2 linked regions of the Oreochromis niloticus genome follow. The protein of the gene in region 1 interacts with the protein of each later gene in a pairwise test. Links are inferred from orthologs where the notes say so. Each region holds a gene or a part of one and is shown on either strand. Other genes may lie near its edges.

What was found. The genes of interacting proteins can lie anywhere in the genome.
Region 2: the proteins of rnf41 (region 1) and asb6 interact in binary tests that used the Homo sapiens proteins (3 or more experiments, as listed by UniProt). The link is inferred for Oreochromis niloticus from reciprocal best matches to the Homo sapiens genes RNF41 and ASB6.

Annotation. Positions count from the first base shown.
Region 1 is NC_031984.2:9,466,330-9,473,726, reverse strand, and holds the start of rnf41 (E3 ubiquitin-protein ligase NRDP1), read right to left. Parts: upstream 3,001-7,397; 5' UTR 2,844-3,000; intron 2,048-2,843; 5' UTR 1,965-2,047; intron 1,154-1,964; 5' UTR 1,134-1,153; coding exon 1,044-1,133; intron 949-1,043; coding exon 677-948; intron 507-676; coding exon 371-506; intron 51-370; coding exon 1-50. UniProt on the Homo sapiens protein: Acts as E3 ubiquitin-protein ligase and regulates the degradation of target proteins. Polyubiquitinates MYD88. Negatively regulates MYD88-dependent production of pro-inflammatory cytokines.
Region 2 is NC_031977.2:11,037,954-11,045,998, reverse strand, and holds the start of asb6 (ankyrin repeat and SOCS box protein 6), read right to left. Parts: upstream 3,098-8,045; 5' UTR 2,947-3,097; exon of another isoform or gene 2,891-2,946; intron 2,575-2,890; 5' UTR 2,545-2,574; coding exon 2,435-2,544; intron 2,317-2,434; coding exon 2,141-2,316; intron 1-2,140. UniProt on the Homo sapiens protein: Probable substrate-recognition component of a SCF-like ECS (Elongin-Cullin-SOCS-box protein) E3 ubiquitin-protein ligase complex which mediates the ubiquitination and subsequent proteasomal degradation of target proteins.

The DNA of each region.
Region 1 (7,397 bases):
GCACTGCGAATTGCTCTCATGTAGGCTTTTAGCAGCTGAATGTCTCGTTTCTGGAAATGAAAAGCAATAGAGTGAATGAAAACCTCTCAAAACTGCCTCAAGTACAAAATCTGCAACTGCCCATTTAAAAAGCCCAAATAGATGCATGTCCACACCAAAAAAAAAGTGCAATAAGAATGAGGAGACCATTGTTATTGCACGTCCATCAAGCACGTATAACAGGCATGCATCTGTGTCTTATACCACAAAGACATGGCACTCAAATTATTTCTGCCAAATATCATACAGACAGACAACTGTTAATATTTTATCAAGACTAGACCTAATATTTTGTCAAAAATATACTATTGTGTTGGCAAAATACTCTTACTTGTTCCCCCAGCTGGTGTTTATGTTCTGCTACAGTTTTTTCCAGCTCTGAAATTTTAGTTTGCTGCTGCTGGACAACGCTCCGCAAGTGTTTAATACAGTTATGATTGGGCAACTCATCTTTGGGCATTTCAAGCCTGCAAGAGTGAGAAAGACAGAATATTAAGCAAGAAAAGAAAATTTAATACTACAAAATACAAAGGAGGTCACATTCTTATAACAATTTATGGTAATATTATTATGGTTGTCTTAGTGTTTCTATAGATGTCACATAAGGCTTTGGATTTATTCTATGGAATCCACTTACCCACATCCCTCCTCACAGTTGACAGGCCTTTTGGGGTTGTGCTCACAGTCCTTGAGATGTGACTGCAGCTGGTCCAACCGCAGTGTGGCTGTGCAACCAAAGCTCGCATTATCACAGCTGATCTGAAGTTTGGACAACATGTTGCGCATAATGCGGGGCACAGGACGGAGGTGAGCCAGCGTCACTACTGTGCGGTCAACAGGACAAATCTGCTGCTGGGCAAACCACTGCGTTATACAGGCATTGCAGAAGGCATGTTCACAGTGTGGAGCCTGAGGTGGAAAAATCCATATGCATAGAAGACAAATTTAATGTCAGAAAAACAGATAGAATTAAAAGGTGGGGTGTATTTTGATCAGAGACTTGCCTGCACTGGTTCTTCTAACACTCCACTACATATTGGACACAACAGGTCTTCATCCACCTCCCCTTGAAACCTCGTAACGTCGTACCCCATGGTACATTACCCACAACCTCCTGAACAACACACAAAAAGGTTTTTAGCCATATTAACTTCTTAAAGACACAACTGTACACAGATGATACTAATCTGTACAAAGATTTTAAGTATTTTGCATTCTTATGCAACAGAGAGGCACTGACTGATCCTAAATTTATTTGGGTGCATGATAATGACCCCAAAGTGATTAAAAAAAAAAACAACAAACACTTTTAGTGACAAGAAAAACACCAGATGGTACTCAACTAGCCCTGAGGGGTGTACCACAAAGCGAGACTAATAGTTCAGCAGTGTATGTCAAGCTTAAAACTCAAGAGTTTTCAGTGTCAAGTTGGTCACCATGGTAACTCATGTTAAACTCTTAACCTGGTCCAGAGCAGGTCGTGTTCAGAGTTTTGGTTTACAATTGTCAGCAACTGCCACAATTATTAAAATATAATGAGGTTATATTTTTGTATGTTCTTTCTAGATCCCTATCACACGATCTGGCAATTTTATGCTGAAAAGCAGTCATGTGATGCATCAAATTCCCTTTTTATGCAAGTGTGAGAATCAATAAAAATCTTCATTATGTCCAAATAAAGTTTTAGGTTTGGTAAAGCCAGCTAATGCAAAAAAAACCTGGATATGTTGAACCTGCTTCATAATACAACTCTGCTCAACACCATCAGCTCAGTCTGAGTTTACATAAAGAATCAAAAGCAGTTGAGAAAACCCAGATTCAAAGAACAGTGACAAGTTTACCAAGACGTGTTGACAAATTACTTGCCAAGCAATGCCAAATAATCTGCCTAAATCCTTTACATAGTTCAAATACTTTAAGCCTACCTCACGCACAAAAGCCCTCAAATGTTTCCATTCAGGTCCTGATGTTTTGCTGATACGTCACATCTGGTAAAATGGCCTCCCTGCTAAAAGAGTTTAAAAAAAAAAGAAAAAGAAAAATTATAACATTCATAGAGATTGTTAGATTGATTGCACTTGCATGGAACAAAATCCAAGATCGACGCAATTTATCTGGAGATATATTAAAAAAGACGTGAGCTCAGTCGTTTTCAAATTTTCTTGCAATAATCTATATTCTTTACCTAACAGCATCCCACACCTTTTTTATCTTTATGAACATCGTTTTCTGCTTTAATCAAAAAAAATTTAAAGGAACAATGACTCAAGACATTGAGCACACAGCCCTGACTCGATGCCCTTGACCTAACGTTGTGTAAATTTAACCCTACTGTCACCTACAGCACCTAATGAGAACATCCTGTCATTCCAGCTGACTGGCTGATGACCCAATTTGACTGAAAGCGGCACATGTAGGCGATTTACAGACCCCCATTTCTCCAATTGCTCTCAACATGCCCTGCAAACATTAGCATTGCTAACGTTAGCTATGTGAAAGATATTTCGTTGACAACGCTGTACTTTGCCCCTGTTATTTGGGGTTTATAATTAAAGAAACTGGGGTCATCGCACAAAAAGCACAACAATGCTCAGATATAAGCACCCCTCTCTAGTCACGAATTACATGTAGCTATCGCTATTCCACTAACCATCCCTTTTAGCAAATACGGTACCGTTGGTTTTCCCTGGATATTAGCATCAAGCTAACCAGACAGAGCTCAGTCTAGGAGTATTACACAGAGAAATATCCGTTTACAATTACACACTCTAGAAGAAAATACCATAACTAACAGATATACTTACCTAAGCGTGTATTAAACTAGTTCTTTATGACGAATTCTGTGTTTTTTCAGACGTCCCAGTGTAGCTAGGAGCTTGATAGCCACGTCCTGTGCTACATCCTACACTTCAGCGTCATTGAGACGCAAGCGAGCGGCGACGTCATGACGTACTGCTACAACGTTCGTTTGATTGGTCCTTTAACTTTCTCTCTCTATATATATTCATCTTTCTATCTTCATTCATTTACAGACCATATTATAATACACATTTACACAAATCTGACTAGAACTACCAGTTAATTTTTTTCCGTGATGGTTTCATTTTTAAAGACAAATATGGCACAAATACATACAGTAATCTGCAAAAGACTTGATTTACCTCTCATTTCTTTATAATTTCCTTCCAGGAAGCAAAATCTTCCATTTTGATCTTCTTATATTTTTAAAGTTGTCTTCAACAATACGTCTTTAGGTTTTCTGGATGATTTTTCAAAGATTTTTTTGGGACATTGGCTGTTTTATTCATTCATTTTCAGTCCATTCCTATTATCCACCATATTCAGATGAAAACATTTTTCTCTCTTAAACTCTATTAGACAAGCTTTTTAGTACTTGAATGAATCATTCAAGCATTAAAAAGCAACAAAGTCATGGGATGAACTAGTGTTGTGTCTTTGGATAACGCATTAGCAAAGATTTTGCTAATTTATCTGATTTTAAATTGCATCTTTAGGTACTTTGTTATTAGAAGCCTGTTGGAAGACAAAAGAAGTGGAAGGCCTAAAAAAAAACTGTGTCTGAAAGTCAGCAAAGACTTGACACAGGACCTCAGAAATGCATCATTAGAAATGGTCTCAGTGGAAGAGTGGCTGTCAAGAAGCCATTCTTAAAAAATTAAAACAGAAAATGCTGAGGTATGCCATGACTGACAATGAGTCGCAACATGTGATTCAGTTCAGTTAAATTAAATTTTATTTACAGTTCATTAACAGTTGCCTTTAGGTGCTTTATATTGTAAGGTATACACTTGGTAATAATAAAGAAAACCCCAGCAGTCACCCCAACATCCCAATTCCCTGTGACCAAGTAGTTGGTGATAGTGGGAAGGAAAAGCTCCCTTTACCTGGAAAAAAAACCTCTTGCAGGACCAGTCCCAGTGAGGGGGATCCATCTGTAATGACCAGTTTGGTGTGAGGATGATGAATCCAGATTTTACATTTTTGTCTCAATGTTTGGAGGAGGTCAGGAGAGAACTAAACAATGAATGGCTTAATTTATAATCATGACAATGACCACAAAAAGCAAAGTAAGTTAAAGAATACCCGGATTAACAAACAAAAAACCATACACACAAAATGGATCACTATCCATCATGGACTGACCTTCCCAGAGCCTAGACATCAACAGTGTGGGGGTGACTTTGACAGGGAACAGAACACAAATTAGCCAACATCCAAAGAAGAACTTTGAATCTCCTTCAAGATGCCTATATAATTATTCCTGAAGACTACTTACAGACTAAAATGTGTCTAAGAGAGTTCAGGCATCGTTTAGGAATACCAAATATTGATTTTCAATCTTGTTGGAGTTGTGCAATCTGCCAAAATACCAGATTTCAAGATATGTTTGTGCATGTAGCTGAATTGCTGCAACCATTTGCCATTTTCCTAGCAAAGCATAAAGAAACAGAGGGTTGCTCATTACTTTTCCACAGCACAGCCACACAAATATGACACGATTCTTTCTCAGCCATGCAGTGAAAGAACATAATGTTATATTTAGGACAGAAGGTAAACAGGAAGGGGGGAAAAAATAGGTAGAAATATCCAGATAGAAAATGCACTTTATGCAGAGTGGGTGGATCCGGTTTAGCAGAAGGGGGCAGACACTGAAATGAATGACTCCGTCTATAACAGTGTGAGTGCATGCTCCTCCAACACTGACACGGTGTCATTGAACTGCACTGGTACTCTTATAAAACTATGTGGTTTTAAGCAAGATAAAATTGAGTTCAAATTAGTCTCGCTGTTAGAGGAAACTTAGAGCTAGATATGGCAATATTCACATTACTTTTGCATGCAAGTCACTCGTTTTATTACATTAGTTTCTTATGAAACTAGTGGTTCAATCTGGTATAAACTCCAGCAGATCAATATTTTAATGTCGCTTGTTACTGTATTTTGCAGAAAACATAAACACTTTAAAAAGTATATAAATTCCTTATGAGTAACACACAAAGGTCAAAGTCCAATACACTCCCATCATACTACTATAAAATGTGAGCTAACAGTGGTGGTAAATACAGTCAAGTTCTTTGCTTTGTCAGTTCCTCATTTGAGTTGAGAAACCTCAAGCCTCAAGTAGATTCTCACATACACACACACACACACACACACACACACACACACACACACACAAAAAGGTTTAAAATGTCTTCTCAGCTTTTTTTTTTTTCTTAGGTTCCTAGTTTGAAAGACTGGCGAAAACACAACACACGAAAAACATAAATAACTCCAGACTCAAGAAATATTTAGCAATAGCACTTTATTGAACACAAACAACCCTAAGCCACAATACTGAATGACAAGACCAATTGGCTGCAGCAAACATTTTATAAAATAGATTCAGGTTTAATGTCACTAAATTGTTTTTTTTTTCCTTTTAACGTCAGAAAGACAGATGCAGGTTTTTCCAAAACAGTGAATGATCTTTTACATATTTAACATTTCTGTAACAAATTATCATTCACATGTTCACACAAAGGAATAACAAGGCAAAGTGCTTTCAGGATTGCATTGTCGAAAAAAATTAAAATAAAACAAAAACAGAAAAATGAATGGCTTGAGGTTAAAGGTGAGACGGTGGGTGAGAGGGGAGGGGAGGGGTGGGGGAGTTGGGCTGGTCCTGTCTTAGAGTAGGCATGGGTGAGCTGTTGGGTGGTTGTGAGGGTGGTGGGATGGCGGGGCCTGGTCTGAAAAACCTCAAACCTTTCACCCTTGTCCCGTACCCCTTTGTACTCAAAACTGGATGTAAAATGTTGGGGCAGTGCGGAAACAAGACGCCTGTGTAGCAGAATTTGGTACAGAGTGGACAGATGGATTCAAAGGCATACGGCTCGAGGGGCTCAAACTCATCCACATTTACAAATACACCTTACTATCATCCCTGTGACAACCTGTGATATCATTACAACTGTAGGGGGGGAGAAAAAATAAAAAAAAAATAAAAATCAATGGCTGACCCAGAAGGAAGCTGTAAACGTTGAAATATTGTATACCATAGGGCTAGATGGGGGAAGTATATGCATAAGAGGAAACCAAAGAAATAAATGCTGTTAAAATATAAAGCCAATGGTTATTCATTTTCTTAAAAAGATGATTCCTCTGACCATTCGCCACTGAATGTTAAAGGGGATAGACTATCATCATAATCTGCATCATAACGTTGTCTGGCTTCACATTCCAGTGGTATTTTGTCGTATAAATGCTTCTCATAAATATTTTTTTTTCCAACGTCAAATAGACAAGTACACATACAGCACAACCAAGCACACTTTATGTATAACTACCATTGCTTATGATAAATCTGTATTCCCGTACTGTGAATAAACTTTTTTTTTTTTTTTTTTTTAAGTCAGAACAGGTGGAGAGACTAACAATACTCAAGGCTGCAAAACAAGGAGGTAGGAGAAATGCTACTGAAAAAACAGCAAGTGAAGCTAATGTGATCGTTCACTTAAACAATTGTGATACACCAGGCTTCCTGAACCATGCTAGTGCCAACAGCTGCTAGTCCAGTTGGAGTTTGAAGAGCTGTGTTTTAACAAGTGTTTGATTTTAACTTTGAATATTGACTTGGCTATTTAAAAAACAAACAATAAAAGTATCTGCAGCTTTCTGACAGCTCCTGCATTGACTGGGGTAGCAGCTGTGGTGATGTACTAGTTAAAGAAATCTTAAGAGGCTCATTCATCTTTACAAAAAAAAAAAAAAAAAAAAAAAAAAAGAAAAGGAAGAAGAAGAAAAAAAATAATAATGTCTGAATCGTGTCTTAACCCTATATTCCCAGACTGGTCATATTTCAAAATTGACTAATTTCAACTTCATTGGTCCTGTTGTCATCACAGGTCTCGAGACCGCGCTGCTGGTGATGGCATTGACTCCTTTACACACAGTAGAATAGTATATTTGCAGATTTGTAAATGAGGTAATCAGCGTTAGGCTAAATAGGGAACCCTGTCGTTGACACACATGCCCACTTCATTCACCAGCAAAGAGGAAAAAAATAAAATAAAATAAAATTCCTCAATCAGAGGGACAGGACTGTGGAAAATTAAATCAACTTTGGAATGTTGGGTGGACAAGCCAACTTTTTTTTTTTTTGTTTAACTTTCTGTGAAGGTGCACTGTGAAACTCTTTGATTGTAATTCATCACATGACCTGATTCAAAGTCCTTCCACTCATGATAAGGGCTCCTTTGTCATTACCCCATAATAAGCCACTCAAAATAAAATAACACAAAACAGGCAACCCATTGAACTAGCGTTTCCTTTTTAAAACTCGCAATGACTTAAGG
Region 2 (8,045 bases), on another chromosome or scaffold:
CATAGTTAGGCTTAGTCTGGAAGGTTTAATCACAGTAGAAAAACATGCTGCACTTCCCACTAGTATATATAGACGATAACTGGCTCATTATGCATGTGTTACTTGTTACGTGTAGAAGAATGGCAGTGGTCTCATGTTTGTATAAGTCATTAAACGTAATCTGTAATGAACTATCCCAGGAAGGAATGAGATGAATATTAGAAAGCCAAAAACAGTATTCAGCACTTTGAATATCATTTGCGACAGCTTGCAAAATTTCAGTTGCAAGAAACAAATGTGCTATTGGGCCGGGGGGGGCTGGCCACCCCCCAAAATTTGCGTATTTGTTTTTCATATTCACCCATTTTCAGGGATAACAACTTTAATAGCAGGAAATTACGTAGGCATATAATTCTTTTCTTTATCTCTTTTTTGCCATATTTTTCAAGTATCCAATATTTAACAACAGCATAATAAAAAAAAACGGGAAATTGTGTTTAGTGTGCCACCCATATGGCCATTCCTATGAAAGAATTTTTAAGGCGTCCCTGTCATTAATAACGTGATACAAATATGTTTGAAGGCAAATAACTGGCTATAGTTCATTGCCTAACAAACATTTCTGTTGCTTACCGGCACATTGGGAGTGTTGGATTTGGTTATTTTGTGTCAGCAACCAAATCAGTAGCACAGAAATGACACACACACTTTTTTTTCCCCAGGCTTTTGAAAACAGAAGGTAAACTATCCAGAGCAGTGGAGACTGCTGCAAAAATGCAGTTCTGCCAGCATCGTGACCTGGAGCTTGAACCACAGAGGCTGCTGCTAATGACATCTGCCATCTCCTAGTGATGTCCCTTCCTGCAGTCTGGGCCTACATCAGCTCACTTATGATGCTTGAACACACATCTTAGTAATACGCTCACTGACAAAAGACTGAGCGGACCTGAATCTGATGTTCTGAAGTACACGTATCATGATATGACATATCATGATCACTGAATGACACAGGAAATCATTCCTGCCCATGGCCATCTCCCTATACAACTCCTCCATCTAATACACTGTAAACACTGCAACAGTTACATTCTTTTTGCACACGCTCTTTCTACTCTGTAATATTCCTGTCAACATTTGTGATATTTATTTATAATCACCTCTGTCAATCCTTGATTTTTATTATTTAGTGATTTGTATATATTGTGCTATTTCTTAAATCCGTAACATACCGTATTGTTAAATAGTCTAGTCTGTTTCTGTTATTTATACTGGAGCAACTGTAACCCATATAATTTCCTTAGGGATTAATAAAGTATACCGATTCTGATTCTGATATTGGAACTGCTGCGGAAAATTTTGCTAGAATGGCAAGACACTGAATGAACTTTAAACTGCCAAGAAAACTATTCCAATTTGTTTTCTCATCCTACAGATTTTGTATTGTAGCAGCTTGCTTGCTCTTGTTGGTACATACGCTTGATTAGAGCCGGACCAACATAGGATTTTTAAGACCGATATTGATATATGATGATTTATGGTGACAACGCACTCATTGTTGTGTCTGTAGTGCTCTAAAAATGAAGTTGCAGAGTGCCCTCTGGTGGATAAGTGATTCAAAATCAACAATCACATCTTGGTTGAAGAGTGTTTCTTTCTCTGCTTTTTTAAATTTTTATTTATCAGCTATCATTATTGGCAATAAAGATACATGTGCAAATAGCCAACATCGGGCTTGTGTTTACTATCGTACTGTCTTTGTGCCAGTGAATGTGGAATCCTGTTTAAATGCACAATTCTCTAGCCTATAGCCAGCATAGATGTTATGATATTTTTGGGTAACCAGAATTTCACTGTGGTATGGGTGCTGGTAAAGTTGGGTTTTCGGGGAAAAAAAGCCATGAATCAGTCTCTTTCTGCCTTGCTCATTAAGTTGCATGTTGCTAAAATGCATGAGCAACTGTCACTTAAATGTTGTATGAACCAGACTGGCAACAAGACTGGCAACAAGACTACTGGATCATAGGAGGAAAAAAAATGACATTAAGCACAGTCATAAAATGATCTCTCTCTTTCTTTGGCAAGGTTTAATAAACAAATGTGTATACAGTGTCAAGTTAAAAACATTCACATTATCTAAAACACACCCCAAACTGTTACTAACCTTCAAAGTTGAGATCAGCTCCGTAGCGTAGGAGGATTTTTGCTGGCTGCACCAGACCCCGCTCTGCCATTTTGAACAAGGCATAGCTGATCCCCTCCACAAACACCTCTGACTGGGATTCTTGCTCCAGAAGCTCCACCAGAGACCTAGAAATTGCGGATTCTTCCTCAGAACTCCTGACAGGAGGAGAAAGAAGCACCTTATATGTAATGTTTTGTGTGTTATCTGATACACAATTAATTACGGCAGTGTAGCACTGCCAAAAGAGGACTGTAACCGAATAGCCAGGTTTACCTTTCCTCGCCAATGTCATCTCGTTCTTCCAGTCCAATAACACACATGACAGCATCTACCAGCGGCTGATACTCATAAATTATCCTGCGAAATCCATGGAGGAAAGGCATGGCTCTGCCTCGGTGATCCTAGGTTAGCTCCTAAAAGCATAAAAGAAATGCTGTGTGCTGAGGGTGTGTCAGTCTAACAGAGAACGCAACGCAGATATCAAAGTTTATCTCCTGAGTACAGCTGACAAAAGTATTCATATCGTGGGTGACACGTCACAGTAACAGGCTAACGCAGTGGTTTTAAAATCCTTCATATAAAATAATATTTACTCCTAATACCGATTAGTTAGCTGGACCCGTGCAGTTAACGTTAGCTGACCGTTTGTCTAACATACGCTAACCGCAACGACAGTTATGTTATAAAAATGGCGACAAAAGTGTCGCAGTCAATGACAGCATGACTTACCAAATGTATCACTTCTTAACTTGCTAAATTATAAATAAATGTCTTAGCGAAATTACTTTTATAAGAGAGGAAAGTCACTCAGAGCAGACTCCCTTCAAAACAGGAAGCTTTCCTCACGCCAGCATCCGTCCGACGCTGTTTTCATTCCCATTTAAAATACAAGCCTAAACAAGGTTCCTCTTTCGAGTCCGTGTCCTTCAATCAAAAATGAGTAACTAAGCAAACACACTGCACCACTTCAGTTATTGAAACATAGACATTTATTGAGAATTTAAATGCCAAATAGTGATTTCGGGTATTTAAAGGTTAATTAGTGTATAATCAGGCCTTCCCGCAATCTGAGGCGTTTTCATTATAATCAATTATAACTACATAGGAGCAGGCGCTGGTTTCTGGAAACCATCCATCTTTAATACAGCTGCAGACACGGACATGGCTTTTCCACCTAATAGCTTTTTATGTATGTGGCTAAAGATCAACCACATACATAGTATGTCTTATAAGTCACTTTTAAGTCACTTTTAATTTGATAATCACAAACTGTGTGATTTCAAACTGTGTATGATTATTTAACATTTATATTTTGCACATCTCCTCATTTATAATTTCCTCATCTCCTTATTACTGTCATTGTTTCTTCCACCATGCACCCTCATTTTTAATTCATCCTTTTCCTCCTCACCTCAAGCCTCATCTCCTGATATGGTTGCAATTACTTATTGTCAGCAGATTAGACATGCAACCCACCTGTCTCAGGACAAGCTGACTAAACAGTAAGAACAGCTGGTTAGCAATGTTCGAGCTATGGTTAGGCTTGAGTGTACTAAAAATCACAACTTTCCCTCTTATTATTAACAGCTTGATTAAATACTGACAGCATATAATCACTATAGATGTAACTGTAGCAAGTATTAAGCACTTGAACTTTGAGGGGTAAGAAAACAGAATTCAGTTGACTGCGGTCTCCAACATACTGACATCTATTGGTGATGATTTACACATTGTAGCTTTAAGTAAAATGCTTTTGTTGTTGACTTATGATCTGTCAAATATATTTTTCAAGAATGATATTGAGTTATTTTGTGGTAGAAATAACATTCCTGTCACAGGTAGAAACTGTAGATTTTTTTATGCCAATTTATCCGGTGTTATTGACATTAAAAATATCCTTTTCAAAAGGTATCTCGTGAAGAGGGCAACAAATACAACCAGTTACCACCAGTGGTATAAAACAATCAGCAAGTGCAAAAAATAAAAACATACAAGTATGACTGTAAGGAAGTCTGCTGGAAAACTAACAGAGATATTGGAAGGGAAAGACAGGCTGCTCAGTCCTAAAGAGAAAACTCTTGCAACAGCAGCCATTGTGACTGAAGCAGAACTTCCAAGAGGGACCTTCTTACTTTGGGTCAATATTAGCAACAATTTTTAATTAACTGTAACGGATCCAAAAATGTTTTTGTATCCCGGTGACTATTGTAATTATTTTGAATAATTCTTCAAAACTTTAGGGTCACTGCCAAGTAATGAGACTTTAAAAGTACCTCGTCTATGAGCTCTGATAAGCCACAGGCTCGGTTTTTGATTGTAGATTTAATTGATTGCAGCATGATGTTGATTTCTATTATCATTATTATTATTGTTATTTTCAATTATGGCTCCAAGTAGAATCAAAATGAGGATAAAGCATGCTGTGTTTTAGTGCAGACCTACCTTGTGATTGACAAGCCTGTATCATACGGACATGCACCTTCCTGCCATTTCTCAGTCAGTTAAACCCCTGCTTTTTAAAACAACGCTGGCAGTGCCCAAAATGCTCAGTTCATTAATTAATGAGTGATGGTGCATGGTGACTGTGTACACTTTTTTTATATGCACCCTTAAGACTCTGATAATAAACTTTAACTTTAGCAAAGGTTTACTTAGAAAGCTGCACAATTTCCTTTTTTTAACTCCTTTCCAAACAGACAATACTATTGGGAAAGATTCCAGGATTTTCCTCAAACATGTGTGTCCAGTTCAGTCTATTTGTTTATTATTTTATGTCACAAATCAGTCTTTGTTTCTGATGGTAACTGTCATGTATTTATCAAACCATACCAACTTCCATCCAACGATCAAGTGCCTGATTAGCATTAGCATATGTTTCCTTTGATATTCTTACTGACCAACATAATATTTCTCCCACCAACACGAGCAGTTCTAAAACACTTTCTTTTGTCCATATGGCACATTACTCCAGGACAGCAGCTTTCGCATTTGTGACAATTTCTCCATTATGCCGACAGCATCTGGTTGTTAACAGTTGCCTTCGTCCTGTTTAGCAAACAACCTCCTGCTGAGTCGGAGTTTGTTGACAGATGGCTCACTTTGAGAACCACAGAGGAAAGCCTTCTCTCTCACAGGATGTCATTTTTAGCGCATGTGTTTGTGTGTCTGACTTTAAACATCACCCGTCCCAACGACTGCACGTATGTTAATCCAGTTTTTGTTGCTGACACACTGTCTCAAACCATTACAAAATGGTGCAAAAAATGCTGAGGAAGACAAATTAGCTATACAAGCATATTCTTTTTGTAGTTTTAAATAAAAACAAACAAACAGGGAAAGTAAATATTTTTGATTAATATGTTAAAATTAATGAACAAATACACAGCTAAAAAAAATTAAATGAACAGTTTGAAATCACATTAGATCTCAGTGGGAAACAAATCATGCTGGATAGCTACACTGACATTGACTGGGTAGTCTGTTAGCGTTTGAGGGAAATGAAAATGATCAACCTACAGAGGGCTGAACTCAAACACAACCCAAAAAAAACCCAAAGCGAAAATTTCATTTTGCTGAATTTCATTGCAGCAACTCAAAATGGTACTCAGTAGTTTTTATGGCCCTCACATGCTTGGCAACATCTGAGCATGCTTCTAAAGAGATTGTGGATTGTGTCCTGGGGGATCTCCTCCCAGATCTGGACCAGATCATCACTGAGCTCCTGAACAGTCTGAGGTTCAACCTGGCAGTGTCAGACGGACCAGAGTATGAGAGGTGTTGTATGAGAGGTGTGACGGCCAGTCAGTGGTATCAGTTCCTTCATCCTCCAGAATATGCCTGCATACTCTTGTCACATGAGTCTGGGCATTGTCATGCACCAGGAGGAACCCAAGGCGCACTGCACCAATGCAGGGTCTGACAATGAGCCCAATCATGCTGAACGATGTCACAGGCAGCATAATGCTTTCCACAGCTTTTCCAGACCCTTACACATCTGTCACATGTGCTTAGGATGACACCGGTGGACCCGCCAGCTGGGCACCAGAGTTCCAGAAAGTGAGCACAGGGCCCACCAGAGGATGTTGAGATCTCAGGCCAACCTACATAAAGTCTGTTTCTGATTGTCTGGTAAGAGACATTCATAACACCGGACTTTTGGAGGTCATTTTGTAGCTTTGGCAGTGCTCTTCCTGCTCCTCCTTGCACAAAGCAGCACATACCGCTCCTGTTGATGGGTTAAGGACCTTCTATGACCCTGTCCAGCGCTCCCAGAGTAATAGCCTGTCTCCTGGAATATTCTCCACGCTCTCAATACTGTGCTGGGAGACACAGCAAACATTCTGGCAGTGGCATGTATTGATGTGCCACCCTGGAGGAGTTGGACCTCTGTAGGGTCCAGGTATCACCTTGTGTTATCAATAGTGACACTGATCCTCACCAAATGCAAAATTAGTGAAAAAACAGGCAGAAAAGATGAGAAGAGAAAAAATGTCCCTGACATCATCAGTAAAACTACTCATTTTTGGGGGGATGGTTCATTGTTGTCCTTCTAGTGCACCTGGTATTAATTTCATTAACACTAAAGCGGCTGAAACTGATTAACAACCCCCTATGCTACTTAACTGCCCAGATCAATATCCCAGCAGTTTAACTGACTCAATGCTTTACTCTGATTAAAAAGCGGTCCTTTCATTTTTTGAGCATTGTACATAACTCAAGGGTGACTTTATTATTTTGAAGATGTTTAGGTTTAGAGTACTGTTTGATTGCTGTCTAAATAACTGTTGATACAAATTCTGCCTTTAGGTGGCAGCAGAGCAGCATCGGCACACAAACTGCACCCTAGACCTGTTATTATACATCACATGCATGAGTGAATGGTTTTAAATGCGCATGAAAGCAAACACAACCTATCATGTAGATGTGGACTTGAGCAGAATCTCAAACAAGCATCACAGGGAGACTCTCTCCGGCATCCGGCGGGCTTGTCCTCTAGAGCGGAAACAGAATGCAATAGTTTAATCAAAGTTTGATTAATTCTAATTTTGTCACTTTCAAGACAATTACTGTTTTCACATCCAAGTAACCCGATCAATAAGGCGTTGTTCCCTGAACGGATGGCAGCCTGTTCATAATCTCTCTAATGAGGGTGAAGTCTCTTTTGCTGTTTTCCAGCCACACTTAATTTACTCTGGATTTTCAAGGCGTGCGCTCATGAATAAACTTCCTTTTACCTTTCCTTTCACAAAACTGCCGCTGACAAGTTAAGTCTTTGTGCGCACACCTGTCAGAGCTCCCCGGCGAAGCAGACAAGCTATTTTTCCAACTCTCACCATGTGGTCACGGGAGCATACTGCTTCTTGTTAGACGACAGTACAGGCAGGTGGCACAACGCACATCACGCATTAGACCGTGAAAAAAAAGCGTTTTTCAAACGCAGGACCCCCCTCCCAGGTATCAGGCTCAGCATTAATGCATGTTCTTGAGGAAGTTTACAAACCTCACTACGGCACCACCGATGTCACTGTTGTTCTCAAAGCACGGCATGTCAGGTCCCCACAGGTATCAACACATGACACTTGAAATAGCTTTAGGAGAACAGCTCTGAGCCACTTTCACAAGAACGCCGTAGGAGAAAAAATGAATTTGCAAAACACTCATTCACAGTGATACAGTCATTTAAGCACCCACGGTCCCGTGTGTGATGAAACGCCTCAGTGGGATTCCAGGTACTGAAGAGTAATGATCGTAGTTAAGAGCAAAGCTTTGTCAAAAATATCATCCTTTGTGCTGTTTGTCCTTTTCTTGACGTCTAATTTTGAGCTGGATTGGAGGGCGTGAGGCAAACCGGGAGGAAGAAAAGAGGGGAGATAACTGCAGTTCC